Linked DNA regions of Sus scrofa. The protein of the gene in region 4 interacts with the protein of the main gene of each other region in a pairwise test. Links are inferred from orthologs where the notes say so. Each region holds a gene or a part of one and is shown on either strand. Other genes may lie near its edges. The genes, in order: ZNF276, ATF4, CEP57, GCC1 and CEP70.

Region 1 (5,983 bases), on a different chromosome or scaffold from region 4:
CGTAGGCCGGTGGCTACAGCTCCGATTGGACCCCTGGCCTGGGAACCTCCATATGCCGCGGGAGCGGCCCAAAGAAATAGCAACAACAACAACAACAACAACGAAAAAAAGAAAACGAGGGGGTGCCTACTTTGCGCCAGGCTTCCGATGGCCCGTCGGGGAGACGTTGACTCTCTGCAGAAAGCACGTGAGAAGCCCGTGGCACTGGTAGAACTGGGCGAGGCAGTTCTTGCAGACAAACTGAGACAGAGCTGGGTCCTGGAGGACAGCCACCCCCAGCAGACGCTGGAAGTCCCTGACGAAAACACGCTCCCCGGGGGGTGGTCTCTCGGAGCTCTCCCCAGGTGCCCTGCCGGAGATGCTGCGCAGACTCCGGGAGGAGAACTTCCCGTGGCAGAGGCGACAGTGGCCCATGGCCAGGGCCCGGGCTGTTCCTGGGCAAGCACAGGAAACATGAAGTCAGCGGGGAGGCTGCCTGCTGCCCAGAGCAGGCAGAACGCGGCTCCCAGGGCAGGTGAGGCCCAGGCTCCTCCAGCCACTCAGCTCCTGGAGTGGGGCCTCCATGCCCCTTAAACACAAGTTTCTGGTCCATGTCTGGGCCAGAGGCAGACCGCTTCCGAGCTCCCAGCTAAATATACATCCTTTGGGAGACATGGCCAGGGAGGGCCTTTAGGTCCAGAAAACCTTCCGGTGCATTCTAAACACTCCAAGACAAGGCCGGTATTACCCTGCTATAACAAAGCCAGACAAGCAAAGAAACCACAAGAAAAGACAACTACAGGCCAGGAGTTCCCGTCGGAGCTCAGTGGAAATGAACTCTACCGGCTTCCACGAGGATGCAGGTTCGAGCTCTGGCCTCGCTCAGTGAGTTAAGGACCTGGCACTGCTGTGAGCTGTGGTGTCAGCTGCAGACACAGCTCAGATCCTGCGTTGCTGTGGCTCTGGTGGAGGCTGGTGGCTACGGCTCCGATTCGACCCCTAGCCTGGGAACCTCCATATGCCGCAGGAGTGGCCAAAGAAATCGCAAAAAAAAAAAAAAAAAAGAAAGAAAAAGAGAAAGAAAAAGAGAAAGAAAAAGAAAAAAGTCACCCAAATCATAAAGAAGTAAAACTATCTCTCTTTGCAGATAACATTATGTATAGAAGACGCCACCAAAAAACTGTTAAACTAATTCAGGAAAGCTGTAGGATGTAAAACCAATACACAAAAAAGTCAGCTGATTTCTCATACACTAATAACAAACTATCATAAATCAAGAGAACACAAAGAATAAATCACTGGAGTTCCTGCTGTGGCACAATGGGATTGGCAGTGTCTCCGCAGCCCCAGGATCCAGGTTCGATCCCTGGCCTAGCACAGTGGGTTAGGGATCCAGGAACTCCACGTGCCATGGGCTGGCCACAGAAAGGAATAAAGCGTCTGGAAATAAGTTTAACCAAAGAGGTGAAGATCTGTACCCGAAACTGTAGGACGCTGACGAGATGAACAACGGACAGATGTTCCACAGCCTACGAATCCACCTACAAGTGGAATGCAATCCTACCAAAACCCTAGTGGTATTTTTCACAGAAACAGAACAATCTTCACACGTACATAGAACAAGAAAAGACCCCGAAAAGCCAGAGCAATCCTGTGCAAGAAAAACAGAGGCAACCAGACCTAGAAGATCTTTCTAGTTCTTCCTTCCAGAGAAAGGAGCCAGAAATACCACATTTCCTGGTTTCAACTATAAACTATCTCATAAACCTCCAGTCATCAAAGCAGCACGGGACTGGCAAAAAACACTCAGACTAACGAAACCGAACAGAAGGCCCAGAAACAAATTCATGGAGTACTTCCCTGGTGCCCTAGTGGGTGAAGGATCTGGCACTGTCACTCCCTGGCCTGGGAACTTGTGCATGCCATGGCCACAGGCAAAAAAAAAAACAGTTAAAAAATAAATTCATGTGGGGGAAAAAATGTAATTGTAATGTATACATGTAAAGATAACCTGACCCCCTTGCTGTACAGTGGGAAAATTTAAAAATATATTAAAAATAAATACATAAATAAATAAATTCATGTATATATATATAGTCAATTGATTTATGATAAAGGCGCCAACAACATTCAACGGGGAAAGACTAGTCTCTTTAGTAAGTGATGCTGGGAACGCTGGACAGCTGCGTGCAGAAAGTGCAGCCAGACCACTCTACCACCACACTGCAACTCAAGGGGGATGAAGGACGTGAGATACAGGAAACCCTAAACCCCCAGAAGAAAATAACAGGGCAACTCTTGACATCCGTCACGGGGTGATTTTTTGAACTGACACCACAGGCAAGAAGAAACCAATGGGGCCGCCGCGGCACAGCACAGAAAAGCATCCCCAAACTGAAGGGCAACCCACCGAACAGGAGAGACTACTGACCAGTCGTACACCTGATGAGGGTTAATATCCAGCCCAGGTGAAGAACTCCCAGGACTCAACAGCAAAACACAAAGCATCTAATTTAAAAACGAGCAGAGTATCTGAATATACACTCTTCCAAAGAAGGCAGACATATGAAAAGATGCTCAACATCCCTAATCGTCAAGGAAATGCAAACCAAAACCGCCATCAGCTACCACGTCACACCCGTCAGAAGGGCCATCAGAAGGTAGCAACATGCAGGTGAGAACGTGGAGAAAAGGGAGCCCCACGCTCCGCTGGTGGGCAGCTAAACCAGTATAACCACTATGGAAAGCAGTAGGGAGACTCCTCAAAAAGTTAAAAGGAGTTCCCGTTGGCGCTCAGAGGAAGCGAGCCTAACTAGCATCCACGAGGACTCGGGTTCAATTCCTGGCCTTGCTCAGTGGGTTAAGGATGCGGTGTTGCCATGAGCTGCAGCGTAGGTCGCAGACCAGACTCAGATCCCGTCTTGCTTTGGCTGTGATGCAGGTCGGCAGCACACTCCAAGTGGACCCCTAGCCTGGGAACTTCCATACGCCACAGGTGACGCCCTAAAAAACAAAAGAAAAAAAAGCAGATTCTAAAAGTTCTCATCAGAAGAAAACAAACTTGGAATCACACGTGGTGATGGGTGTTAACTAGACACATTATGGTCATTTCACCACATGCACAAATACAACATCAATTACATTGTACACCTGCAACCACTACCATGTTTTATGGCAATTAGACCTCAACATTTTTTTACAAAAAATAAGTACATATTTCTTGAGTAAATAAATGCCTCCATGGTTACGGAACTTCATAAACTAAGCTGAAAACTTCTCCCTCCTCACACGACCCTCCTGCGACCAGACGTGAGGACGCCCGTGCAGCTCTGCTTCCCCAGGTGTCCTGTCTGCGAGTGCAGGCGATGCCACCTGCCCCCCGGGAGGATTAAATGCGCGCAGCAAAAGCCCTTCTCCAGGGGCAAAAGTACCACACGCAGGCCAAGTACATTTTAACGCCCGTACCACCTGCCAGGCAGGGAACCCGGCACTCTTAGTTCTGCTTCGATGAAGAGGAAGCTGAGGCCCCTACAGATGAAGCAATTTTCTCAAGGCTGCACAGCACGGGGCAAACCAGGAGTGAAACTCGGACCTGCCCGACGGCTCCTTCGAGCACCAATTACTCAGCGCGCCCAGAGTCGGCGCCGAGGGTCAGCTGTCTTGCGAAACTTCTCCCCGCGGAGGCTACCGCGTCCGCCGGGGAGGCCGCCCCCACGCCTCGGCAGGGGGGGCCCCGCCCGCTCTCTGAGGAGCGGGGACACCCTGGGCCGGGGCGGGGGGGGGGGGGCGCTGAGGCCCCACCGCCCCTCAAGCCCGGCAGGCAGGACCCACCTGCCTCGTCGGCGCCGTCCTCGCCCGCGTCCGCGCAGGCCCGCGCGGGGCCCCAGCTCAGCCGCGCCGCCACCAAAGCCGCCGCCTCGGCCACGGTCGGCCCGCTGCGGGCGGGGCGGCCCCGGGCCCGGCCACCGCCATAGCTGCTGCCGCCGGTGCTCCCGCGCTGCCCGGACGACAGGAAGCGGCCGAGCCGGTCCCGTTTCATGGCTGCTGGGGCCCGGCCCCGGCGCTCGGGCCCGCTCGCTCAGCCGGCCTGTTTGCGAGGCAGGGCTCGGGGTGGCTCGGCCCGGAGCCTCCCGTCCGCCCCGCTGGACGGTGCTCGCCTGTTTCCGTTCCCCAGCGCCCGGCTCCCTGGAAGGGGCGGGGCGACGCGGGAGGGGCGGGGGGAGGACAGCGGGGCCGGGCCGAGCGCGGCGGCCAAGGGGCGGGGCCTGCGCGGCGAGCCCGTCTCCGCCGGCCGGGGGCACTCAGACGCCCTCGGCGACGGCGCGAAGCTCTCTGAGAGCTCCGCCGCCCGCGCCTCCTCCCCTTCGGCCCCAGGAGCCGACCTCGCAGCGCGCCGCGGGCGGGGCCGCCGGAAGTGCGCCCGCGACGGTGCCGCTTCTTCCGGCGGTCCGGGGCTCGGGCGGAGCCTGCGCCCGCGCGTCTGGCGTTCCGGGCCCCGGGCCCCCGGCCCCGCCCCTCGGCCGCGGCCGCAGCCGCCGCCTCTCCCGCCGGCGCCATGGCCGCTGCGGCCGGGGACGGCGCGGTGAAGCCCCTGCAGTGCGCCATGAAGCTGGCCAACGGGGCCATCGAGCTGGACACCGGCAACCGGCCCCGGGTGAGGCGGGTGGGGCGGGGTGGGGGCGGTCGCCGACCCGCCCCGGCCCGGTGGGCGTGGGCGAGGGCGGGGCCGCGGGGTGGGCGCCCCCAGGCCCCTTCCGGCGGCTCAGGGTTGCCGGCTCGGCTTCGGCCGTGACCTTGGACAGCTCCCGCCGGCTCCGGGCCTGTTTTCCCGGCAGCTGGGCGAGGGGGGAATTGGAGCTGAAGCGCTTTCATTTGTGAAGGGGACCCAGGAGGGTTGGTGAGGCAGCCCCCGCCAGAGTGTTCTGGCAGGCAGTCCCGTATATGCGTTTGTTGGGGGCGGACCTTGCAGATCAGTCAGGTTCCCAAAGGGGACGGAATCCAAAAGAGGTTAACTGCGGCGTTGCAGTCGCCTTCAGGGCTTGTTCGAAAGAAAATGCCAGCGGGGGAGGGGTGTGGCTGGTCCCCAAGAACAGGTGTTAATCCGAAAGGCGGCGACCGTCTGGGCCAGCCAGCCGAGCCACAGCAGGCGTCCCAAGGAGGGAAGGAGGCCGCGGGTACCTGGGACCGGCTTCCATTCGCTGCTGTCCGTAAGTTGGGATGCTAGGGCATCAAGTGTCCCCGCAAGTCAGAAATCCTTCCAGCAATCCGTGTTACCCTGATATCTAAGGTGCAGACCTAAAGGTGGGTAATTTAAGAACCGGGATGCAACAAAACAAAACAAAGCACCCTGCTCTGGCTCTACATGCGTGAGCTGTCAGGAAGCCCTGAACTTGAAAGTGCCAGACCCCTGGATGCCCAGGAAGTACTTATTCTGGAGCTCAGAAAAGGGATTTCCCAGAACCTAAGCCAGAAAATGATTGAGATTTGCAGTATCACTCCCTGATTCACCTCCCAGGAAATATTTTTGTTAAGCCCACTGAATGAATGGCCCCTGAACTGCACAGGAAAAAAACTTGTGGCACAGAGTGAAAAATGCAGCAGCTGCCAAGACTGCCTCCTCTGGCCACTGAATGAGAGCCTGAGTTCCTTCCTGTGTGGGAGATGACGGAGTGATGCCAGCGTCACCTCCCGAGAAGAGGGGACTCTGTGCCTCAGGGTGAGCAGTTACCAGCCAGCCAGCTGAGCACGTGAAGCCAGGGCAGGCACCCTTCTCCCTGTGTTTCCACAAGGGCACCGGGCAGGCACGATGGAATTCTTTGCCTCCACTGGCCTGACCCCTGCCACTTCCCTTCACCGGGCACAGGAGGCATATACCGAATACCTGAGGAGCGTCCACTATATCGCCCAGGTGCTGCTGGAAGAAGTGGAAGCCACCAAAGGTATAGTGCCCACCTTGCAGCTCCTCCTGGGCCAGGGACACGGTGGACGGCTTAGCCTTTGATGG
Region 2 (6,025 bases), on a different chromosome or scaffold from region 4:
AACGCTCAGGAAATGGTTATAAAGCTGCAATTTCTTCCTCAGGCACTGCTGCAGGTCTTGGAGATCAGGGCACGAAGTGACTGCAAAACTGGGTGTCAGAGCAGGAAATAAACATGTATACACGTCAACTGGAGAAAGGACCATGGGGGGGCAAATGAGCGGGAAAGGTGAGGGGCGGAACACCAGCAGTCACTTTGGATGGCCTTGGGAGTGACACTGGAACCTTGCAGGAGTTGAGGAACCAACGGGAAACCCTTGCAAAACAGCAAGTGCTGAAGCTGAGGCCAGGTGAGCTCACTGGGGCACAGGAAGTGAACGGCAGAGGCCCCTGCCTCCCGTCTTTTGGGTCTGGGGAGGACTTGGCTGCAGGGACCTGTGGAGAGGCATGCACACATACTCTGGCTTCAGACACCCTCACCTGCACTGCCCCTCACAGCAACCCAAAAGGGCTTCCTTCTAAGCCAGAGTGGGTCACCCAGATTGGCAATGAATGACTGGCATGAGCCTCATCAAAGAGGGCAGGTCACTTCCAGGGCTGCTCTCAACTCACCACACCCCCTCCTCCTGCCCCCCCACCCCATTGTCTGCTGAGTTGAGGCAGAGGGAATTACGGAGCGTTTGCACTTTACTTCTGACCCTGGTGAGAAAAGTGGCTCCAGGGGGGATTGACTGGAACATTTATCTGAAGAAATCAGTCATCAGCAGTACGTTCACTACAAAATAATTTATTGCAACACACAGCTAAAGCCCTAGCCTATGTACAAGCACATGCACACCCCTGCCCGGCAGCTAGGGGGCGCGTTTCTTCCCCGTGCCTTGCGGACCTCTTCTATCAGATCTTTGAGATACTGAATCTCCTTGGCCAAGGAATCTGCCTTCTCTTTCAGAGCTTCGTTCTTCTTTTCCAGCTCTTTACATTCGCCAGTGAGGGCCTCCTGCTCTGCCCTCTTCTTCTGGCGGTACCGAGTGGCTGCTGTCTTGTTCTGCTCCATCTTCTTCAGCTTCTTATCTAGTTTCTCACCCTTTACTTTTGCTGCTACCACCTTCTCTCCAGGAGGATCATAGGGTTTGGGCCGGACAGAACCACAAGGGGCCCCGGGAGAGAGCAAGCTCCTACTTGGAGAGGCCCTGGAGGTGGAGGGACTGTGCTGGGGAGAGCCCAGATAGGAGTCAGGGCTCATACAGATGCCACTGTCATTATCTGAGGGGGCATCCTCTTCCTTTATGCATTGAGGAATCAAGGTAATGTAAGTAGTGGAGTCTGGCTTCCTATCTCCTTCCGAGATTTCCACTTCACCCTGTATCTCTAAACTAAAGGAATTATCTGGAGTGGAAGACAGGGCCCCTGGGGAAAGGGGAAGAGTTTGCAAGAACGTAAAGGGGGCAACCTGGTCAGTTGTTGGTAAACTTTCTGGGAGATGGCCAATTGGGTTCACTATCTGCGGGGGCTCCTGGAGTGGGGGGTCAAAGAGATCACATGTGTCATCCAACGTGGCCAAAAGCTCATCTGGCATGGTTTCCAGGTCATCTATACCCAACAGGGCATCGAAGTCGAACTCCTTCAGATCCATTTTCTCCACCATCCAGTCTGTCCCGGAGAAAGCATCCTCTGCAAGAGATTTAAGAGGGACGGAACCCAGAGTCAGATGCACGCGGCAGCAAGGCTTTATCACCAGACCCCACCGGCAGGGAAAAGCCCACTCACCCTTGCTGTTGTCTGAGGCACTGACCAACCCATCCACAGCCAGCCATTCGGAGGAGCCCGCCTTAGCTTTGTCGCCGGAGAACCCATGAGGTTTGAAGTGCTTGGCCACCTCCAGATATTCGTCTAAGAGCCCTAAGCTCTCTTCAGCCCCCAAACCCGACGGGTCGAAGGGGGACATCAAGTCCCCCACCAACACCTCGCTGCTCAGGAAGCTCATCTCGGCCATGTTGCGGAGTTTTGATGGAATCGAGGAATGTGCTTAATTCGAAGGTGTCTTTGTCGGTTACAGCAACGCTGCTGCTGAATGCCGTGAGAAGCCTTAACAGGAACCAGAAACCAAGCCCCATTAGAGAACAGCTGGTCTGAGCCTTTCGCCTCTCCACCCCCGGGGCAGGACGGCCAAATCCCGACCCCGTGTGGTTGTTGAGACTTGGGGGCCGCTGGCCCCGGCTGCCAACCTTCCCCGCGTCCGCCTGGCGGCGCAAGATGGACGCCCGGCCGTTCCCCGACCCGCCACCAGAGGAAGGCGCCCGGTCCTCCCGGCCGAGTCCGGCCCCGCCCACGCCCGCCCGTGACTCACGCCGCGGCCGCCGCCCTGCCCCGCCGCCATCTTGGCTGCTGCCACGTTTCGTGGAGCCCCAGGGGGAGCCCCGGCCCCCCGGCCGGGGCCGGAGGTACCGAGGACTTCGCCCCACGCCCGAACAGCGCAGCGGCCTCTCGACCCAGGGGCGCTGGCGCTTCGGCGTCACCCCATCAGCGGCCACGCGTCCCGGGCGCTCGTAAAACCGCTTCCCCCTCCGCGACGCCGCCGGACCGCGCCCCAGCATCAGACAAGAACCCTTCACCGACCCGGGGGGACACGGCCCAGAGCGTCGGGCCCCGGTACTTACGCCATGGCTTAAGCCGCTGGGGGGTGCCGCTGCAGAGCCTGGTGCTGCTGCCGCCGCTGCAAAGGCCAATGCTGCCGCAGGCACTGCTGCCTCTAATACGCCATGGCGGCCGCGGACCCTGCGGGAGCGGAGGAAGAAAAGCGCCCACTCGCAGAAAAGGACTACATCTACAGCGGAGAGGAAAAGAAATGGCGGCGGTTCGCCGAGCGCGGGTCCTTTATAGACTCTGCCTCTGTGGGACGCATCACAGAGAATATTCTTCCGCCTAGGTCACGTGACCAGCGCCTCCCACCCACGCGCTTTCATTTAACCGACGCCCCTACCATTTCCAGTCTCTGACTTTTATGTCGAGGGCGAAACTGTGAGGACCAAATGAGTTACTTTTATTTACAGCCTCAAAAAAGGGCGCACTACTTTACAAGGCTTTTGAGATCTAAGGATCACCACCGTCCGCTGCCGGGATGCGCGGAAGGATCTTGCACAGCTACTTCCGGTGCTAGCCCGAGAGGCGGAGACGAGTCTTTCACCCCAAGAAGGGCTTTTATTGTGAAGTACGAGGTCTCCTGGTTATCGCGCGAGCTACTGGCGGAGAGCGCGCGTCGAAATGATTGGTTAGGCATGGTGAGTCATATATACATCGAGTTTCTATTGGCTCAGGCTCCGAGGCGGGCGGGTTGTTCAGCGAGGGAGCCCCTGATCTGCGCGGGAAGGTGGGTGAGGTTCCCGCCGCCGGGCCCCGGCGTCCTGCTCGCCGTAGCGCCGCTCTGCAAAGGCTCCCTCAGCCCCGCCCACCCAGCTGGCCTTGATTGCCCCGGGCAGCCCTGGCCCAGATCCAAATAGTGGCGTTAGGTCCGAATCCTCGTGGTCCTTTCCTGCCGCCCTTGGAGAAGCTCCGAACTAGGGACCGGGTTTAGGCCCGAATGTGAAACTAGTCAAGAGTAAATGTTATTTCGTCTGTTTTCACTTGCACACACTTGCAGAATACTGAGGACGTGTGAACCCTTCAGTAACTGGAAGGGGAGACTGATGACCTCAGCTGAGATCCACCTACCATCAAAGGCCTGCTCTGCGTCCTGACTCAACTCTGTAGAGGCGAGTCGAGTGGAGGAAATCCATAATCCTGTGGTCTAAACAATTGTATTTTTACATATCCATTCTGCTAAAATACAAGTTTCCTTTTATGTTAAAGAATGAAACCTATGACAGGGGAACTTCTTTCAGTTTATGTAGTTTCACTTCCCCTAAAAATGAGGTATTTTATTTAGCTGCTCTTTCTCACTCTAGGGTAGTTTCAATTATTTACCAACTCTGTAACTCCGCGGCATAACCACTTCCCAGCAAGTCCTACTGCCTGGGTGCTTGATCAGACCTGCCCACTTAGGGGAATTTGTGTGTTTGGAGGCCACAGTCCAGGTTAGGGCCAGTAACTTGCCCTCTCTACTGGGGAACTGTCAAGAGCTAGGAGAAAGCTCTTTCACCATCTTCCAGTCCTCCAATCAGGCCCTGTAGGGAAACCTTGAGTTTCCACTCCCCTTCATTTCAGTGGGCCCTACAAATATTATTTCTATGAGGACAGTGAGGTCAAAAATTGGTCAGGCACTTCCTACATAACAACTAACCATTCATTGATTTGAGTCAGTCTAGCCCAACCATTTCTTTACAGTGGTAAGCTGATGACTAAAGGCATGACATGTCTTGCCTGGTGTGGGCAGTATGGGGTAGGAGTTATGACAGATTTAAGGGCCAATTCCAAAAAATCTTGGCTTTCCCATTTATTAGTGGAGACATTCTGGTTAAGTGACTTACCCCCACTGAGTCTTCGTTTCCTGATCTGTAAAACGAGGCTAATGATGGGTATCCTCATCCTTAGAATGAAGTTAAGATAATATATTCACAGCACTGAGCCGTGCGCCTGGTACCTGGTAAGTGCTGGATAAATGGTTGCCATTACTCCTGTGACTAGAACGCAGGTCTTCTAACCCACCTCCCATCCCCATCATATCCTGCTCCCTCAGAGGACTGTTATTTACTGAGATGAAATCAACAACTATAAACAGCTGGTCTAGGAAAGCATACTGGATACTAGGTATGGTTTTTCTTTCCCCTTGGGGAATCTCAATTCTCTGGAAACATGTACAAGGCATCTGGTCTTTTGGTGCAAAGACAGTAAGAATCCCGAGCCACTACCCCCGAGCCACTACCCAAGTCTTCCAAAGGTGTCATTAAGGAGCCACGGGGCATGTCCTCCTCTCTGCTGTATGGGAGACTTGTCAGTGCCTCTTGATGGATGTCCATGCAGATGCTTAAGAAGTAAAGTAACACTGCCCCAATTGGACACCGTAGGAGTGGAATAACCCCATCCGTTCTATTATGGAGACCCCAAGCAAGCACTCTGATGCACCAGTACCACTCACGTAGGAAACTATTTCCCACCACACACACGAGTCAAAGCTGTTGGAAAGGAGACGTTTCTTTTCTTTCCAGGTTGTGGAAGGGCAACGTGTCCCCCAGCTTTATTTCCTCCCTCAAGGAGAAAAAGGATAGTAGTTTTCTGGGTCTTGGGGCTAAGCTGCTTCTATATGGACAAAACAAGGAAGACTGATGACTGATTCCAAATCTATCAGCTAAACACATCAACTGCTCACTGAAGGGCAGATTAGTGACTGGGAGGCAGGTTGTGGACTTGGTTGCAGGGGCCAAGAAAATACAGATTATGAGGCGATCAGAAGGAAAAGGTAAACAAGCTGCATGCAGTTAACTCCAGACCCCACATCTCTTGTTATTTGGCCACCTAGAATCAGCAGCATCTGGAGGCTCAGCAGGTTAAGGATCTGGCGTTGTCACAGCTGTGGCTCAGCTCACTGCTGCTGTGCAGGTTTGATCCTGGGCCTGGCCTGGGAACTTCTGCAGGCTATGGGCCTGCCCTCCACCCAAAGACAAAAAAAATTTCAGAGGGCTACTTCTCACAGCTCTAGTCTGAAGTGTTTCTTACCATTCTCTTTGGCCTTGAGCTTCAGCACAAGGGGCAGAGTTCTAACACATCCTGTGAGGACAGAAGTTCTCAGCCAGGGCCACAGTCTCAGATGTGCCACAACTGGCAGCAATCGGGATACAGGGGATTCCCTACTTCCACAACCCTCCTGGGGCCTCTGCGGGGCCTTCTGATCCTGAAGCTGATTCGTCAAAACCATCTGAGCTCTCAACCTGAATAGAGCGCAAGGGAGCAAAACCAGCTCATCTGTGGAGTGTGAACAGGAGGCCCATGAGGGGCTGAGCCCTGGAGACTGCAGGCTTCACAACACAACTTTTCCCACCATGAACTTCAATTATTCCTTTATTTGAAGAAAAAAAAAAAAGTCACAACCAAGTGTATAAAGAAAAATACTGTTGTCCTGAACTCATGTTTCAGGAATGGGCAACAGAGAAAACC
Region 3 (5,396 bases), on a different chromosome or scaffold from region 4:
AGGCTACATGGAAGCTGAATCTGGAAATTTATAGTCTCAGTGGTATTAAGTACTTCTCAAATGGCTCAACTAAAACTAAAATTAGTACAGAGAATAACTTGAACAGAAGCCTTAAGGGTACTCAAAAACATTTTCAACAACATTTTCTGTCAAATGTTGACATAATCTGTCAACATTTTCAAAAAGAACCCCTTCCTTATGTACATTAAGATTGTAAAATATGAACATTTCCTCTTTTTAAAAAATCCTACATGTTTCTTTGCTACAAAGTTGCTCTTTGCCCTATAAAATATCCAGTATTATACAATGAGTGATTTTACAAAAGAACTAAATTATGCACTGATGAGTACAAGAGATTTTCACTGACTTCTGCAAGGGCTTGCATTGTGGTAAGCTTGTTATACTCCTGTTCAAGAAGATCCAATTTTTCAAGCTGGTTTTGAACATGTGTTTGATCATGTTGCCGTTCTCTTTCTAGGGAAACCTAGGAAGCAATATAAATTCAGCATGATGATTTGACAAAAAACTGAAAAACCAACACTGAGAGTACGATGCTGTACACTATTTGTCTGGCCTTTCATAGAATCACTCAGATACTACAAAGGAATTCTAAGAAAACAATACTAAGATGAAACCACAGGAACACCAATAAATACAAGTGCAATCAATCCCATTCTTATGATATTCCTCTCATAACATTTGGTTTCTTGCAGTGAGACTCATGATGCTCTGTGACAGCGGGCATTTACTAGATATGCAGGCTACACACAAATACTTAAAAGTAGTCTGGTTCTCTTAATTAGTTAACCTCTTAAGGCAATAATTACAGTTCTAGTATCTATCATTTACACTTTCTTTGAATTCTTTTTTTTTTTTTTTTTTTTTGTCATTTCTTGGGCCGCTCCCACAGCATATGGAGGTTCCCAGGCTAGGGGTCCAATTGGAGCCATAGCCGTTGGCCTACGCCAGAGCCATAGCAATGCGGGATCTGAGCCGCGTTTGCGACCTACACCACAGCTCACGGCAACGCCAGATCGTAACCCACTGAGCAAGGGCAGGGATTGAACCCGCAACCTCATGGTTCCTAATTGGATTTGTTACCTACTGTGCCACGACAAGAATTCCCCTTCCTCTGAATTCTATGCAAAGCATCCACCATATTTTTTTTTAGGTTTAGTCAATGATTTGAAAAGACTGGAACCTATCAGATTTAAGGACTGATAGTCACAGAATATACCATTAAACTAGGATAAGAAGAGGAAATATGTGAAATTGGGGTCTACTGGTAAAAAGCCAAAACACTAAGCATGTGAGCTCATATACAGCAAGTCTATAGCAAGTGGTATCCTACTAACAGAAATCTGAATATGACAAGTAATATAAAGCAATAAATTTCTCAGGAATTTATGTGAACTATTAATTCCCTATCACCTTAGTAGATAGATACGGCCCTTAAAATAATACATTAAGCTAAAAATTGGCAAAAATCATATTTTACTTTCAGTATTCTTATTAAACAGGCTATTCAAAATAGAATGATGAAAACAGGGCTTAGTTCAAAGACATATATATGTTTAATAGATGTGTTAGTCAAGACATCTCACTGTTGTCTCATGGATGCTTTCTAACTTGAGAACTGGAGTATCCCCATGAAGACAGCTGCTATATTACTGTACATCATGTTTTACCATTTCCAATCATGTGGCAGACTGAGCTGACCATCTGCTTTCCCATCCCATCACATAAAATATTAGACAAAACACAGAAATAATAATTACACAGGAAATCTGAAGACAAGAAAGGGAAACCTGCAGATGAAAAAAGATAAAGTTCCCCTCATGGTGCAGCAGAAACGAATCAGACTAGGAACCATGAGGTTGCGGGTTCGATTCCTGGCCTTGCTCAGTGGGTTCAGGATCCGGTGTTGCTGTGAGCTGTGGTGTTGGTCGCAGACGTGGCTTAGTTCTGGTGTGGCTGTGGTGTAGGCTGGCGGCTACAGCTCTGATTGGACCCCTAAGCCTGGGAACCTCCATGTGCCACGGGTATGGCCCTCAAAAAGACAAAAAATAAATAAATAAAGAATTCAAAAGCAACTGAACAAATACTGAAGCCAAATACTAGATGAGGCAAAACTAGCCTTGCTGTATAAGGCATACCAGGACTATGACATAAATCTCACACAAGGTACCATCTGCCCAATTCATGAATCTCAAGCCAAAAGGCATCATAAATGCAGATCAGAAGCAGGGAAACCCAGAAATCCTCAGCAAAGGCAAATCTACCATCACTTTATAAGGCTGCCTACTCAACTTAGAAGAATGGAATTCCCAATATAAATAATTCCAAAGAATATGGGCTCATCATAAAAAATATGTAAACATACATATACAGTTCTCATAAGAAAAATCAGTTAATTTAAAGACGACTGGGATTTCTTTTGGGTGGGGGGAGGCCCTGCATTCATGGCACGAGGAAGTTCCTGAGCCAGGGATCAAACCTGAGCCTCAGCAGTGACAACAAGCCATAGCAGTAACAATGCTGCATCCTTAACTGCTGGGCCACTGGGGAACTCCAAGACTGGGAATTTTTATAGTGTTCAAAGAGATAAAAGGAGGAAATAAAAACCAAAGTTTAATGGTACATTAAAATAACAACAAAAATAGATGGGCTGAAGAGGACCCAACTGGAAACAAAAAAATATGATCACAAATAAATTCAGTGGCATAGTAGAGACCTGTAGCACACATGAGAATTAATTATTGAAATATCTACTTAAAATGTTCTTGTGCTATCATTCACACTGTTCTTTTAGGTCTAACATCTCCAGCTATGATGCAAAGTTGACTGAGGTGGAAAGCATTTAATTTCTTTCATACTGCATGGTATCCAGCGAAATGTTAAGCATATAAACAGTCAACTTTTGCATCATAAAGTTAAGATGGCTAGAAACTGGGATATTCATAAGGAATTCAAATTCTAGGTTCCTAATAGGAAAAGGAGATATGCTTTTAAAAATATATTTGAGACTGATATTGCAGGTTAAATAAAAATACCTCTGGTGTGAAAACAGCAAAATATTTTTGTTAAAATAACAATTGTAGAGAGTTTTTTCAAAGTATGAATCACCCTGAAATGTGCTGAGTCTAACAAACTCAAGGGGTAGAGAGGTACATAACATGCTTATTTACACTTTTAATAATGTATGAAAGAATTTATCATGACTTGAAAACACAACTAAATGTATAGTTTAGTAAAAACTCTAAGTAAAACTCTATCAAATACAGCAATAACAATGAAGACAAAACAAATTTTTGGACACCATAACTGATCCCGAGTAATTTCAGTCCTGGGCTGTCAACACTGTTCACAAGCAGAAGCTATCAAAGCTGAGTGCAGAGAATACGGCAGTACGTGTGAGGAGCTCCCCCAAAGGAAACTCCTCTTCATAGTTTTGCTTAAAGAAAAAAATCACATTTTTCTCAAAGCTTCCACTAGCAGTTTTTCAAAATGAACTATTGGTACTATTATCTTTTAAGATAGAAGAATTGTTTATGACAGCAGTATTACTCCTCACTGAGAAAAAAATGTCTTTACATTAATTTTCTCTTTAATTTCTCTTTTTTTTTTGTCTGTCTTTTTAGGGCCGTACTGGTGGCATATGGAGGTTCCCAGGTTAGGGGTTGAATTCGGAGCTGTAGCTGCCAGCCCACACCACAGCCACAGCAACTCGGGATCCGAGCCGCGTCTTCGACCTACACCACAGCTCATGGCAACGCCGGATCCTTAACCCACTAAGCGAGGCCAGGGATTGAACCTGCAGCCTCATGGTGACTAATCAGGTTCGTTAACCACTGAGCCACGACAGGAACTCCTCTCTTTAATTGTTCTTGAGACTGACTCTGTGAAGTGACATACCTGTTTCTCTAATACAGACGTCCTCTCCATTTCTGCATGCTTTATCATATTACGCATGTATTCCAATTGTTTTTCTAAAAGATTACATTTATTTTCTGCAGCTAACAACTGAGATGTCAGTTCTAAAAAGAATACATAAGAAAAGCAGAAATTAGTTTGCTCAGAGAACAGTTTTAGTTTTAACAAGCTGTTTAACATAAATCTACAGCATATATAACAAATATTTTCCAGGCGCTCTAGAAGCCCTTTTCAGATGCTCTAAGCCTGTTTCTGTATGTTAGTCCAATCTGCCCTGAATTCAGTCAGTCTAACACAGGACATTAGCACTTGTTCCTCAAAACGCACCTGAGCAAAATGTAATTTTATCATGACCCATAAAATTAACCTCCAGATACTAAGCACTAGAAAACCCTATGTGGAATTTCTTTCAGAATAATTTTAAATAATTGTTTTGATAGTGTTTCATTTCCTTCAAAATTAAACCAACCTTGATTGTGCTTCGATTCCTCATTCTTTGAATTCTCCCTTTCTTGTATTTGTTCATCCAGTACTTTCTTATATTCAATTGTTTCTTTAGACAAGGTTTTCACACTTTCTTCTGCCTGAATCCTCTCAAGTTCTAAACGTCGAATTTTATCTTGAAGATTCTTCAAAGCAGAAAATATAGCTGCCAAATACAAACATGTCTACTATAAGATATTTTATAGTTTGTTATATATAGTTCACTGAAAACAAATAACATCAAAATAAAAATTAAGGAGTTCCTGCTGTGGCTCAGAAGTTAATGAACCCGACTAGCATTCATGAGGAGGAGGGTTAGACCTCTGGCCTCGCTCAGTGGGTTAAGGATCCCCGTGTTGCCACGAGCTGTGGTGTAGGTCACAGACGCGGCTTGGATCCCACGATGCTGTGGCCGCTGGCACAGGCCAGCGGTTACAGCTCCTATTCAACTCCTAACCCGGGAACCGCCATATGCCACGGGTGCGGCCCTAAAGAGACTACAAAAAAAAATTAAATTGACAGGTGGGTACAGTGGAGCTCATGCTTTGGGAACAATACAATGTTAATTATTATCACATGATAATTGCTTAAAAAATCCATTTAAGGGCATCTTTTGAGTCTCTGAAATGTGCTAGCTACTAAAGTAAAAAGCACAATGCCATGGTAAAAACACTTCAAAGATTTTATAAAATGTTAAAAACATTCAACTAATTGTATAAAATTCAAAAACCGTCCCGAAATACATTATTAACAATCCATCTTTCTGGTTTTACTAATAGGATCACAAAATCCAATTATAGAGCTTAAAACAGTCAAGTACAAAAAGGACTATTTTTTTCCTCTTTTTTTTTATTATTTAGGAAAAATATAAGCATTCTGCCCCTCAGAAGGTTTGATTATAATAGTAACATAAAAAAAGATAATACATATTCACTGTAGAAAACACAGGAAAATACAACTAACAGAAGGATGACTTGATA
Region 4 (6,137 bases):
CCTTCCTTTTGTCTTCTCAGTTCCCAGTCAGGGACTTTGAACGTGGCAGGTGCTTCAGTGACCTTAGAATCTCTAGAGGAATGCGCCAGAGGTGAAAGAAGATGCCCTTCATGGTTTCTTAAAACGCCTGCAGCAGAACCAGTGGAGGATCTCCAGTTCTAGGCGGTGGGGTAGTAGATACTACTCCTGCATACTGGAGAATTCTGCCTTGCCTCGATGGCCCTGGAAACAATGCCTTTCAATCGAACCAGGCAACCTTTCTGAAGCTCCTTCCTCAGTTTGAAAAGCGGAACCTGGATTTATTATTTTTTTTGGGGGGGGGTCTTTTTAGGGCCGCACCGGCGGCATGGAAGTCGAATCAAAGCTACAGCTGCAGGCCCATGCCACAGCCACAGCAACGCCAGATGGAGCTCTGTCTTCGACCTGTACCACAGCTCACAGCAACGTCGGATCCCGAGCGAGGCCAGGGATCCAACCTGCGTCCTCATGGATGCTAGTCAGATTCGTTTCTGTTGAGCCACGAAGGGAACTCCAACCTGCACCTTTAATGCATAGCTAGCTAGCATTTTGTAAGGCTGAAGAGCTTCATGAGCTATTTTCCCACTCACCTTAGCATCTGAGGGGAAATAGCAAGATAGGAATTAATTTAAATTTCTTTTATGGTGGAGACTGGGTCACCTAATATATGCTTAACAAATGCTGGCTGGATTGAATGGACTAACTGATTGCTCAGTGGAGCATGGACAGGTGTTTTTGCCTGTTCTGGATTCCCTTTGGGCTTCTAGAATCAATCCCTATGGACTGGACATGGTGAGGTGAGCTGGGAATCAGAGAACGTTCCTTCCTTCCTTCACTCATTAAACAAATATTTATTGAGTGCCATTGTTCCATGCCTCAGTTTGAATCTCAGTTCTGCATTTTTTTTTTTTGAGGGCTTAAATTCAACAATACTCACAACCTGTCATTTTCTCATCTATAAAAGGAGACTATCTGTCCCAAGTTACAGTGAAGAATGAGATGATAAGATAATGTACCTGAATTTTTGTTTGATGCAGCTGGATATTATCTGGGCCACCAAGAAACTGGGTCTGACCAGATTTCTAGTATCGGGCCCATCCTGACCCTCAGTCTGTAAAGAGAACAGATGTTAGGCACCAGGAATGAGTGAGTACCTGACTCTTTTTTACTCTGCATTCCTAAGAAGGCTTTTACAAGGTTGAAGAGCACATTTCAAAGAATCCAAATATAACAACACAGCTACTGGTGACCAAGTCAGATCAGTTCTACATCTTTAGCTCTTTTAATTAGCCTCTTTCATCCTTGTTGTCACTGCTCTATTTCACTACCATCTTATCCCCATGACTGAAAATAGCCTTCTATACCTCGGTTTCTCCACCTTGTCATACAAGATTTGATGATGCCACTCTTGTGATGAAAATCCTTTAGTGTCTTATTACCCAAGATAAAATCCAAATGCCTTAATTTGGGTCCTCATCTACTCTGCCAGCCCCATCTGTTGCCACCTCCTTCACAAAACCTAAGCTACTGCCTTGAAATGCTTCCCAGTGCTTCCCCGGGAGGACCCAGGCTCTCTGATGCCCTAGGAGTCCTTGTACGTTTTCCTCTCTGCCTGGAATGCTTCCCTCCTCTCCGGTTAGATGGGCAATCAGTATTCATCATTCAAATCTCAAAATAGTTCCCCTGAGAGGCTTGTCTCCTCTAAACAGGCCTCGCTCCTCTTAACTTCCATACCCCTTTGCATATAATTGTGTTTGCACATCTGGTTTCTCTCTAGATATGGGTTCCCTGAGGGCAAGACCTTCTCTCTCTCTCTTTTTTAAAATATATAATGATTTTTATTTCTTTTTCATTATAGCTGGTTTACAGTGTTCAAGACCTTATCTCTTCAAGGTGATCATCTAGCACAGCATTTGATATGTGGCGAGTGGGACTGATCTTGATAGGATTCTAAACTTACTGGCTGTGTGTGACTTTGGGAGTGTCACTTAACCTCTCTGTGCTTCAAGTTTCTCTATAAAATAGTGCTAATAATACCCATTCAGCAGAATTACTATAAAGACTAAACAGCAAAATTCCTGTGATCTTCCTGCAATATATTTGGCACTTAGGATGGACAGCGTGGCTATATATATTTCTCTCTGTTGAATAACCTCAGAACTCAGGAAGGATGCTAATAATTATTATACTGTACGCCTACTGGGTTCCAAATACTGTCCTCGAAAGGGTTGCCATTTTCATGGTCTAAATGGGAGTCTTAACTGTTGCTCTTTAGGGGCAAAAGTATTGAGCCCCCAAACATCGTCGTTTACCCGGGTTTTTGGTAAGGACGCGGTGCGACGTCGTCCTGGTCCCTCGCTAGGGCAAAATCAGGCGCCCTCACCAAACCAACATCACTCCTGGGTACCCGATTTTACTTGCTCTGCTCTAGCCAGGAGCAAACAGCTGGAGGCCCAGCTGAACGGCCTCCAGACCGCCGGCTGAACTAACCCCGCCCACCTCGCGCTCACTGGGGGCGGGGTCTGATGCGTCACGCTGTCGTCACTTCCAGCCGGACCCGGAAGCGCTGTTGACTCGTGGCTAGAGTTAGGAAGTCGGGATGCGGCTAAGCTCAGCTTAAACCGTCGGCTCCTGGTGCCGGCGGGGCACGGAGCGGCTCTGGAACAGTGGGGCCGAGCCCTGGCAGTGTGTTCCTCTGGTGAGCTTTGGCAGTCTGTTCCTCTAGGATAGGACCAGCCCCCACCCTCTTGTCAGGGATCTGGCGGACGCTTCTGCCTGGCTGCCCCGCCGCGCCCCACATTCGGTGTCGAACAGCTGTGAGGAGCAGATGTGCGGCCGGGGCGGGGGGGGGTGGGCAGTTCTCTCCCTGTCGCTCACAGCCCCCGCCAACATCTTCGTGACCCTCTCCCAGCCTGTCCGAACGCTGTCGTAGAGCAAGCCGTCCTGAACCGTCATGGAGAAGTTTGGGATGAATTTCGGGGGCGGCCCGAGCAAGAGGGACCTGCTGGAGACCATTGAGACGCAGAAGAAGCAGCTCCTCCAGTACCAGGCACGTCTCAAGGATGTAGTCCGCGCCTATAAAAGCCTGCTGAAAGAGAAAGAGGCGCTGGAGGCCAGCATTAAGGTGCTGTCGGTATCCCACGAGGCGGATGTGGGCCTTGCAGGTGTCCAGCCCCAAAGCCTCACCTTTCCCGACTCTGTGGATGATCGATGCTCCACTCATAGCGAAGACAGCACTGGGACCGCCACCAGCTTGGATACTGCCGCCAGTCTCACCAGTACCAAGGGTGAGTTTGGGGTTGAAGATGACAGACCGGCCTGTGGACCACCACCTCCAAAGTCCGAGGAGGCCAGCGGGTCAGAGAGCGGCGTTAGCAGTAGCAGTGGGGATGGACCGCCTGGAGGTGGTGAGGTGGACAAACGAGTGCACCAGCTAAAGACTCAGTTGGCTACTTTGACCAGCTCTTTGGCCACAGTCACCCAGGAGAAGTCCCGCATGGAAGCTTCTTATCTGGCTGACAAAAAGAAGATGAAACAGGACCTAGAGGATGCCAGTAAGAAGTTAGAGGAGGAGAGGGGCCGTCTGGAAGGAGAATTGAAGGGGCTGCAGGAGCAGGTAGCAGAAACCAAAGCCCGACTTATCACGCAACAGCATGATCGGGCCCAAGAGCAGAGTGACCATGCCCTGATGCTGCGTGAGCTCCAGAAACTGCTGCAGGAGGAGAGGACTCAGCGCCAGGACTTGGAGCTTCGGTTGGAAGAGACTCGAGAAGCTCTGGCTGGACAGGCCTATGCAGCCGGTCAGGTGGAAGGGTTTGAACTGCAGACCAAGCAGCTGACCCGTGAGGTGGAGGAGCTGAAAGGTGAGCTACAGGCTCTTCGAGATGAGAAGAATCGGCCGGACCCCCGACTGCAGGAGCTTCAGGAAGAGGCCGCTTGCCTTAAGAGCCATTTCCAGGCTCAGTTGCAGCAGGAAATGAGGAAGGTAATTATTAGTCATTTAGCCTGGGAAGTATTAGGGCTTTTTTTTTTTTTTTTTTTCCCTCCTTTGGTAGTTAGAATTAAGTGGCTACACTGTGGATTTTTTTTTTTTTTTTTTTTGCTTTTTAGGGCCACACCTGTGGCATATGGAGGTTCCCAGGCTAGGGGTCTAATCAGAGCTACAGCTGCTGGCCACAGCCACAGCAACTCGGGATCCCAGCTGCGTCTGTGACCTACACCACAGCTCACGGCAACGTTGGATCCTTAACCCCCTGAGTAAGGCCAGGGATTGAACCCACATTCTCATGGATCCTAGTAGGGTTCGTTAACCGCTGAGCCGCAAAGGGAACTCCATGCACTGTGGATTTTTGATGCCATTCAAAAAGTTTCACTTGTGAGTCCTGGGAAATCCTTTTCTGTGTGTGGTGGTGTTTTTCTTTTCCTTTCTTTTTTCTTTTTTTGGGCTGTGCTCGAGGCATGCAGAGGTTCCTGGGTGAAGGGATCAAACGTGAGCCACAGCAGTGATAATGCTGGATCCTTAACCACTAGGCCACCAGGAAACTCTGTCTGTGTGGTGTTGACAGTTTCTGCAGAATGTGCTTCCAACAGGATGTGGAGTTCCTGAGTGTAGGCTGGATTGGAGCCAGATAGCGCTGAGCGTCTGGGCATTGGCATCTTACCAGCTCTGCTCTTTGAAGCAGTGCAGTGGCAGCTGCGCAGTGAACGATAAGAGTGTAGCAGTGTATAGGTAGCAGTGTATGGCTTTAGGTAGGGTGGCTGAAGGGGGTAAAGGGATTTTTTTCCAGAAGAGATCACCTCTTATATTGCTGGCAGTCAACATTTGCCTTTTCTGGAAAGGTATGCTGTTTTCCAATGTCTCCTTTCAGTGTGGGGAGAAATCCAAGTCAATTTTATTTTATTTTATTTTGTCTCTCTCTGTTTTTAGGGCCACACCCACAGCATATGGAGGTTCCCAGGTTAGGGGTCCAGTCAGAGCTGTAGCCACCAGCCTATGCCAGGGCCACAGCAGTGTGGGATCTGAGCCGAGTCTGTGACCTACACCACAGCTCATGGCAATGCCGGATCCTTAACCCACTGAGCGAGGCCAGGGATCGAACCTGTGTCCTCATGGATGCCAGTCAGGTTCGTTAACCACTGAGTCACGACAGGAACTCCCCAAGTCAATTTTGAACTTCCAGGAATATTGGAAAAGGAAAAGAATGTCATATGGTTTCTTCATGGGATTTGGGGAAGCACACTTTGTGGGAGCTTGGCCTATGGGAGGAGAAAGCAGAAATAATAAGCAAGGAGTTCCCATCGTGGCACAGTGGTTAACGAATCCGACTAGGAACCATGAGGTTGCGGGTTCGGTCCCTGCCCTTGCTCAGTGGGTTAATGATCCAGCGTTGCCGTGAGCTGTGGTGTAGGTTGCAGACGCAGCTCGGATCCCGCGTTGCTGTGGCTCTGGCGTAGGCCGGAGGCTACAGCTCTGATTCAACCTCTGGCCTGGGAACCTCCATATGCCGCGGGAGCGGCCCAAGAAATAGTAACAACAACAACAAAAGACAAAAAGACAAAAAAAAAAAAAAAAAAAAAAAAAAAGAAAGAAATAATAAGCAAGACAACAGCAGATCTACGAAGGTCCTTACTATTGTTTAGTACAATGTGTGTCTGGGAGCAGACCCCAAGCAGGTTATAGGAACTTGGGTTAGCTCCCAAATGAGAAGAAAACTTCCCAGTTCCCATTTTATCAGGCCACCCCCATCCCGTGACCCTTCTGCAGCACCTTCTCTTGCCTTCCCAGAGTTTGCCATCAGGCCTTGTGGCTTCTTTGGATGCACTTCCATCTGTTCCCTTGTTTTCCAGACAGCCCTGGCCGAGGATCAGCTACGCCAGCAGTCGCAGGTGGAAGAGCAGAGGGTGGCAGCCCTGGAAAATCAAATATCCGAGGTGTCAGAACTGCTGGGCACCTATGAGAAAGCCAAGCAAAAAGACCAGCTGACCATCCAGAAGCTGAAGGAGCGCATTCTGCAGCTGGACCTGGAGAACAGGACGCTGGCGCTGGCGGCCTCCAGCCGGTCCCCTCTGGACAGCCATGGAGAGGAGTCCAGTCTGGATGTCAATGTCCTAAAGGACAA
Region 5 (5,396 bases), on a different chromosome or scaffold from region 4:
ATTTTTTTCCTGCTTTTTAAAAGTTTTAATAATAAGGAAATATTTTGTGTTATTTCAACTTTCAATAGTAAATAAATATATAGAGAAAGAATAAAAATAAACATGGAATTGAATTACTTTATGATTGTTACACTGCCATGGATAAGGTTAAAATTATAAAGTAGCATTAGATTTTGGCAAGAAAAGAATGCTTATTTTAATATTTGAGGTAAACACTAAAAGAACAGTAAAAATCAGTTTCCTGATCCATATATTCCCTATGAAGAAAGAAGAAAGACAGACATTCTGATCTGATTACACTGACTTAAAACTAAAATTAGCTGCTTAGAACTTTAGAGGGCCCAAAAGTTTATCAAACTATATCCAAAGAAATTAACACATTGGTCTAAGTACAGAAAAAGGAAAACTGCACTGCAGAACATAGAAACTGCAAATACAAGTTGTCTTTTAGTTTCTGCATTTTCCCAGCAATCTCTCAATAACAATCTTTTTATGGTCAAACATGTTATTTTTCTTGATCTCTTAGCCACATATATACAAAAATCAATGTTTCCTTTCTCTCAACTGCAAAATATGCAGCACTAAACCACTCTAAAATTGGAAGAAGCATATGCCAAAAAAAAAAAAAAAAAAGAAGAATATGGAGTTCCCATCGTGGCTCAGTGGAAACAAATCTGACTAGGAACCATGAGGTTCGATCCCTGGCCTCGCTCAGTGGGTTAAGGATCCAGAGTTACCATGACCTGTGGTGTAAGTCGCAAACGAGGCTCAGATCTGGCACTGCTGTGGGTCTGGCATAGGCCAGTGACTACAGCTCCGATTAGACCCCTAGCACGGGAACCTCCCATATGCTGCTGATATGGTCCTAAAAAGCAAAAAAAAAACAAAAACAAAAACAAAAAAAAAAGGAAAGAGAATATGCTTCAAGCTGTACCATAATTGTTTTCCAGGAGCACTTTCATCTTCAAGAAAGCACAGATTGACTGGTATAGAACGGAATACATGACTAGTCTGCAAAAGAGTTCCCATTGTGACTCAGTGGGTTAGGAGCCTGACATAGTGTCTGTGAGTATGCAGGTTTGATCCCTGGCCTCATTCAGTGGGTTAAGGACCTGGTGTTGCCACAAGCTGTGGTGTAGGTCACAGATGCAGCTGATATGAGTGCCAAATGTAAGTAGAGTAGTCAAAAAAGGAATCCCTGAGAGATGGTGATCTAACACCTCAGTAAGAAATTACAAACCATGCAGCAATTGTTAAAAAAGCATACACTGGGGTTCCCACTGTAGCTCAGTGGTAACAAACCCAACTAGGATCCATGAGGATGCAGATTTGATCCCTGGCCTTGCTCAACGGGTTAAGGATCTGGTGTTGCCGTGAGCTGTGATGTAGGTCGCAGACAAGGCTCAGATCCTGCATTGCTGTGGCTGTAGTGTAGGCTGGCAGCTGCAGCTCCAATTGGACCCCTAGCCTGGGAACTTCCATATACTGCCCTAAAAAGCAAAAAACAAAAGCCAAAAACAAAAACAAAAAAACACCCCACAAATTCCCTGAGGTGAGAATGCTAAAAAAAAGCAAGAATGTCAATGTGGTTGGAGCAGAATAAGCAAGAGGTACAGTATTAAAGTCAGAAGGTAACATGATGCCAAATCGTATTAAGACCAAAATAGGAGAAAAATGAAGGTGACTTGGACCAGAGTGGAGACCAAAAGAAGAAAGTTTGAGGAGGAAATTCAGGAACTCGGTTTCAGACATGTAAGTTCTAGGTGCCTGTTAAACATCCAATAGAGATATCAAATATGATGAAGGATGTGACTCTAATTAAGACAAGAAGTCTGGGCTATAGATTTAAAGGTGCTGTGAGTTAGACTGAGCATCACCAAAGGAGTTAGAATTTATAGAAAAGAGAGAAGGTCTAAGGAATGAATTGTGAAATCTCAACACTAAGAGGTTAGGAAGATGAGAAGAATCAGCAAAGAAGGTGAAGAATAACCAGTGAGGTCAGACGAAAACCAGAAGAGAGGATGTTCTGGAAACCAAGCAAAGAAAGAATTTCAAGGCAACGACAATGATAGGTCAAGTAAGATAAGGACCACTGAATTAAGCAACATAGAAGTCATCTATGACCTTGACAAGCTGTTTCAACACAATCCTGTAAGAAAATGCGTAACTCAGTACCTGCAAAGCTTTATGCTCCTTCTGAAGCTCTCCTATTTTATTCTGTTGCTGGCAAACCCTATTTAGAGATTCATCCTCCATTTCACCAATTTTTGATTTCACACTCTCCATAATTTGTTCCAAATCATTAGCTCGTTGTTCCTGATCTGCTGCTCGGCTCTGTTCTAGCTGAAGTTCATTTCTAATAACAGACAAACAATTCCTTCTCTTAGTAATAAAAATAAATCATTCCAACAAACATATCCATCTAACAACATAATGAGTTTATAAAATTTCTTATAACACAAACCAACAGAAGAAATATAGGGAACCATTACATATCTAAGCTAAGTAAAAGACCTACTTACCTTTCAAAAATACTTTTTAACTTAATATTTAACCAAAGTGGAAAATTAAATTTCAAGATTCTTTTCAAGGGTTTAGAATGCATACCACTTGAACAGAAACAATTCAAGAGATTTTTTTTTTCCATTTTCTTACTTAAGCTGCGTATTAGTTTCTATGAGCTCCCGGATCATGTTCTGTTGACGTGATGTTTCTTCCATCAAAGTTTTTAAATTCTCTCTCATCCTTTGTGATGACTGTTTGTCAAAAATGATGAGATCTACATTTTTTGAAATGTAATACACATAGTAAAGATAAAGGTGAGGAAAAAAATTTTAAGATCAAAAATTTTTAAAGCAAAGAGAAATGTTTTTAATCTTAAAAAACAGTTAAGATCTGATTACCTTTCATATCTGTTCTTTTAACTAGAGATAACGGTTTCAAGCCATGTGTCATCAACAGCACATTTATGCTTTCCCATTCTTCTTCTTCCCGCTACAATTACAAGGAGAGAGAAATGAATCAACCTTAAAGTGAAGAAATACTCTCTTATATATAATTTCCTTTGTTTTCAGAATAACAGACTTTTTCTCCAAAAGCTTTAGTATGAACGTTTATACACATATAATGACTAAAATTAAAACAAAATTGGCAAACAAAAAGGATGCAAATAAGCACACATAATTACATTATGTAATTCCAGAATACTTATATATAGGCTTTGGTGGATAAATTAAACAAAAAAACTGGTAATTTCAATGAACCAAACAGACCTTAGGTTTTTGACTTAACTGAACCAGACCAGGCCCCACTCAAAATAATACAATCTAATTTGCAGTTTTAGTTTAACTGAATAGTAAAGGAAGGGTGAGTCACTCAGAAACAAGTGTCACCTCAACAATGACTAGGGTCCAAGAAAATCAAACTGTAACTGACTGGTCAGAGCCAATAATTTAAACAGTTCCTTGTAGAGTAGACAAGGTCTAACTTATGAAAAGGAACCTCACCATCTAGGTAATGATTATAGTAGAATCATTCTGAAAGACACTCAAGATTTGTATTTCTGATTCTAAATGTGTATTTATACCATAAACCTGAGAGGGGAACTCTAACTCTCTAGATTAAGTAAATAAAAACCTAAAAATGGGAAAAAAAAATAAGAATATGATATACAGCTGAAAACAGAAACAGAAATGACTTTTTAAAATGACACACTTAGGAGTTCCCGTCATGGCTCAGTGGTTAATGAATCCAACTAGGAACCATGAGGTTGCAGGTTTGATTCCTGGTCTTGCTCAGTGGGTTAAGGATCCGGTGTTGCTGTGAGCTGTGGTGTAGGGCGCAGATGTGGCTAGGATCTGGTGTTGCTGTGGTTCTGGCGTAGGCCAGCGGCTATAGCTCCGATTAGACCCCTAGCCTGGGAACCTCCATATGCCGCGGGAGCGACCCTAGAAAAAGGCAAAAAGACAAAAAATAAATAAATAAAAATAAAATAAAATGACACATTTAAATCCATGATATTAATACTTTTATAATGGGCTCTTTAAGTATAAAGCTCAATTTTGAAATCACTGTGTGAAGTATTTTGTGTGCTTTTTAAAATACCTTAACTATCTTATGTAGTATAGGTATAACATAAGTACATTTGTGAAAAGGTAATTTGAGTGAATTTTCAATCTATTTAAATGCCTAAAGATACATTTTATACACTTTTACTAGTGTATAGTATATAAATATTACAATAGCTTTAAGTTTAAAAATTTAGATAATTCTTGAAAGTACAAATAAAAGTATTACAACTCTCCACATCCATATGCCCCTCAGACATTAAAAGTGTACCAAGATAGATAAGCAACAAGGATATATCATATAGCAATGGAATTATAGCTATTATCTTATAATAACTTTTAATGAAGTATAATCTATAAAAACACTAATTCATGAGTTCCCGTTGTGGCTCAGTGGTAATGAACCTGACTAGTATCCACAAGGATGCAGGTTCAATCCCCAGCCTCGCTTAGCGGGTTAAGGATCCAGCATTGCCGTGAGCTGTGGTGTAGGTCACAGATGAGGCTCGGATCTGGAGTTGCTATGGCTGTGGTGTAGGCTGGCAGCTGCAGCTCTAAGGACCTCTAGCCTGGGAACTTCCATATGCCGTGCACACAGCTTAAAAGACAAACAAACAAACAAAAAAAACGGATTCACTACATTGTACACCTGAAACTAACATAATACTGTAAATCAACTATACTTCAATTTAAAAAATTATTCTGATGACTCTCTGATAGCACTATGACTCACAGTGCCAAACAACATTTTCCCTTATTTATATCTTCTAATCATAAAGATTAATGACACACAACTACAATTACTGCTGCTATATGTTTAGGAGCCAAAAGCTCTGTGTGGATATACAAGTAGATGTCTACTATGACTCGTAAGAACAAAATGTTCTATAAATAATGTTGTGCACTGTGAATGACCAAATTACACATATTGTTCCCTGATAGCTCTTTAAATAGAAAGAATAACATAACTGTTGCCAAATTCTGAAAGTAGTTGAGAATGGCATTTTCCAAAGTATGTGCTACATAACATCAGTCTACAGAAATATTCATCAGATTAGTGTTAAGTAAGTAGGAAATACTATATACTAAAGCCTGCTTTTGGAGACTGATGGTATTGTGAAATCTTAGAATATTGCTATCATGTAATAGTCTTTAACCCATCATTTCCCAAGATGATTTTATTAAAGAAGGCTTTATTAAGTTTTTTCACATTTGTAAATGTGGGATTCTTTGACATATACTATGAAAAACACTGGTTTCAAATATTTCAAGTTTACCTGTTTTTCAGTCATGACACTGGTTGATGATTTGCTGGATTCCTGGGCTTTA

The links.
Region 1: the proteins of GCC1 (region 4) and ZNF276 interact in binary tests that used the Homo sapiens proteins (3 or more experiments, as listed by UniProt). The two-hybrid records come from large-scale screens. The link is inferred for Sus scrofa from reciprocal best matches to the Homo sapiens genes GCC1 and ZNF276.
Region 2: the proteins of GCC1 (region 4) and ATF4 interact in binary tests that used the Homo sapiens proteins (3 or more experiments, as listed by UniProt). The two-hybrid records come from large-scale screens. The link is inferred for Sus scrofa from reciprocal best matches to the Homo sapiens genes GCC1 and ATF4.
Region 3: the proteins of GCC1 (region 4) and CEP57 interact in binary tests that used the Homo sapiens proteins (3 or more experiments, as listed by UniProt). The two-hybrid records come from large-scale screens. The link is inferred for Sus scrofa from reciprocal best matches to the Homo sapiens genes GCC1 and CEP57.
Region 5: the proteins of GCC1 (region 4) and CEP70 interact in binary tests that used the Homo sapiens proteins (3 or more experiments, as listed by UniProt). The two-hybrid records come from large-scale screens. The link is inferred for Sus scrofa from reciprocal best matches to the Homo sapiens genes GCC1 and CEP70.

The regions. Positions count from the first base shown.
Region 1 is NC_010448.4:309,257-315,239, forward strand, and holds the start of ZNF276 (zinc finger protein 276), read right to left. Parts: upstream 4,165-5,983; 5' UTR 4,019-4,164; coding exon 3,811-4,018; intron 435-3,810; coding exon 131-434; intron 1-130. Other genes in the region: VPS9D1 (VPS9 domain-containing protein 1), read left to right, coding at 4,535-4,633, 5,843-5,918. UniProt on the Homo sapiens protein: May be involved in transcriptional regulation.
Region 2 is NC_010447.5:8,742,259-8,748,283, forward strand, and holds ATF4 (cyclic AMP-dependent transcription factor ATF-4), read right to left. Parts: upstream 3,495-6,025; 5' UTR 2,596-3,494; intron 2,024-2,595; 5' UTR 1,932-2,023; coding exon 1,706-1,931; intron 1,610-1,705; coding exon 750-1,609; 3' UTR 706-749; downstream 1-705. UniProt on the Homo sapiens protein: Transcription factor that binds the cAMP response element (CRE) (consensus: 5'-GTGACGT[AC][AG]-3') and displays two biological functions, as regulator of metabolic and redox processes under normal cellular conditions, and as master transcription factor during integrated stress response (ISR).
Region 3 is NC_010451.4:27,836,033-27,841,428, reverse strand, and holds part of CEP57 (centrosomal protein of 57 kDa), read right to left. Parts: intron 4,583-5,396; coding exon 4,403-4,582; intron 4,038-4,402; coding exon 3,916-4,037; intron 485-3,915; coding exon 368-484; intron 1-367. UniProt on the Homo sapiens protein: Centrosomal protein which may be required for microtubule attachment to centrosomes. May act by forming ring-like structures around microtubules. Mediates nuclear translocation and mitogenic activity of the internalized growth factor FGF2, but that of FGF1.
Region 4 is NC_010460.4:20,699,137-20,705,273, forward strand, and holds the start of GCC1 (GRIP and coiled-coil domain-containing protein 1), read left to right. Parts: upstream 1-2,548; 5' UTR 2,549-2,971; coding exon 2,972-4,003; intron 4,004-5,865; coding exon 5,866-6,137. UniProt on the Homo sapiens protein: Probably involved in maintaining Golgi structure.
Region 5 is NC_010455.5:79,354,618-79,360,013, forward strand, and holds part of CEP70 (centrosomal protein of 70 kDa), read right to left. Parts: coding exon 5,345-5,396; intron 2,995-5,344; coding exon 2,904-2,994; intron 2,780-2,903; coding exon 2,656-2,779; intron 2,357-2,655; coding exon 2,176-2,356; intron 1-2,175.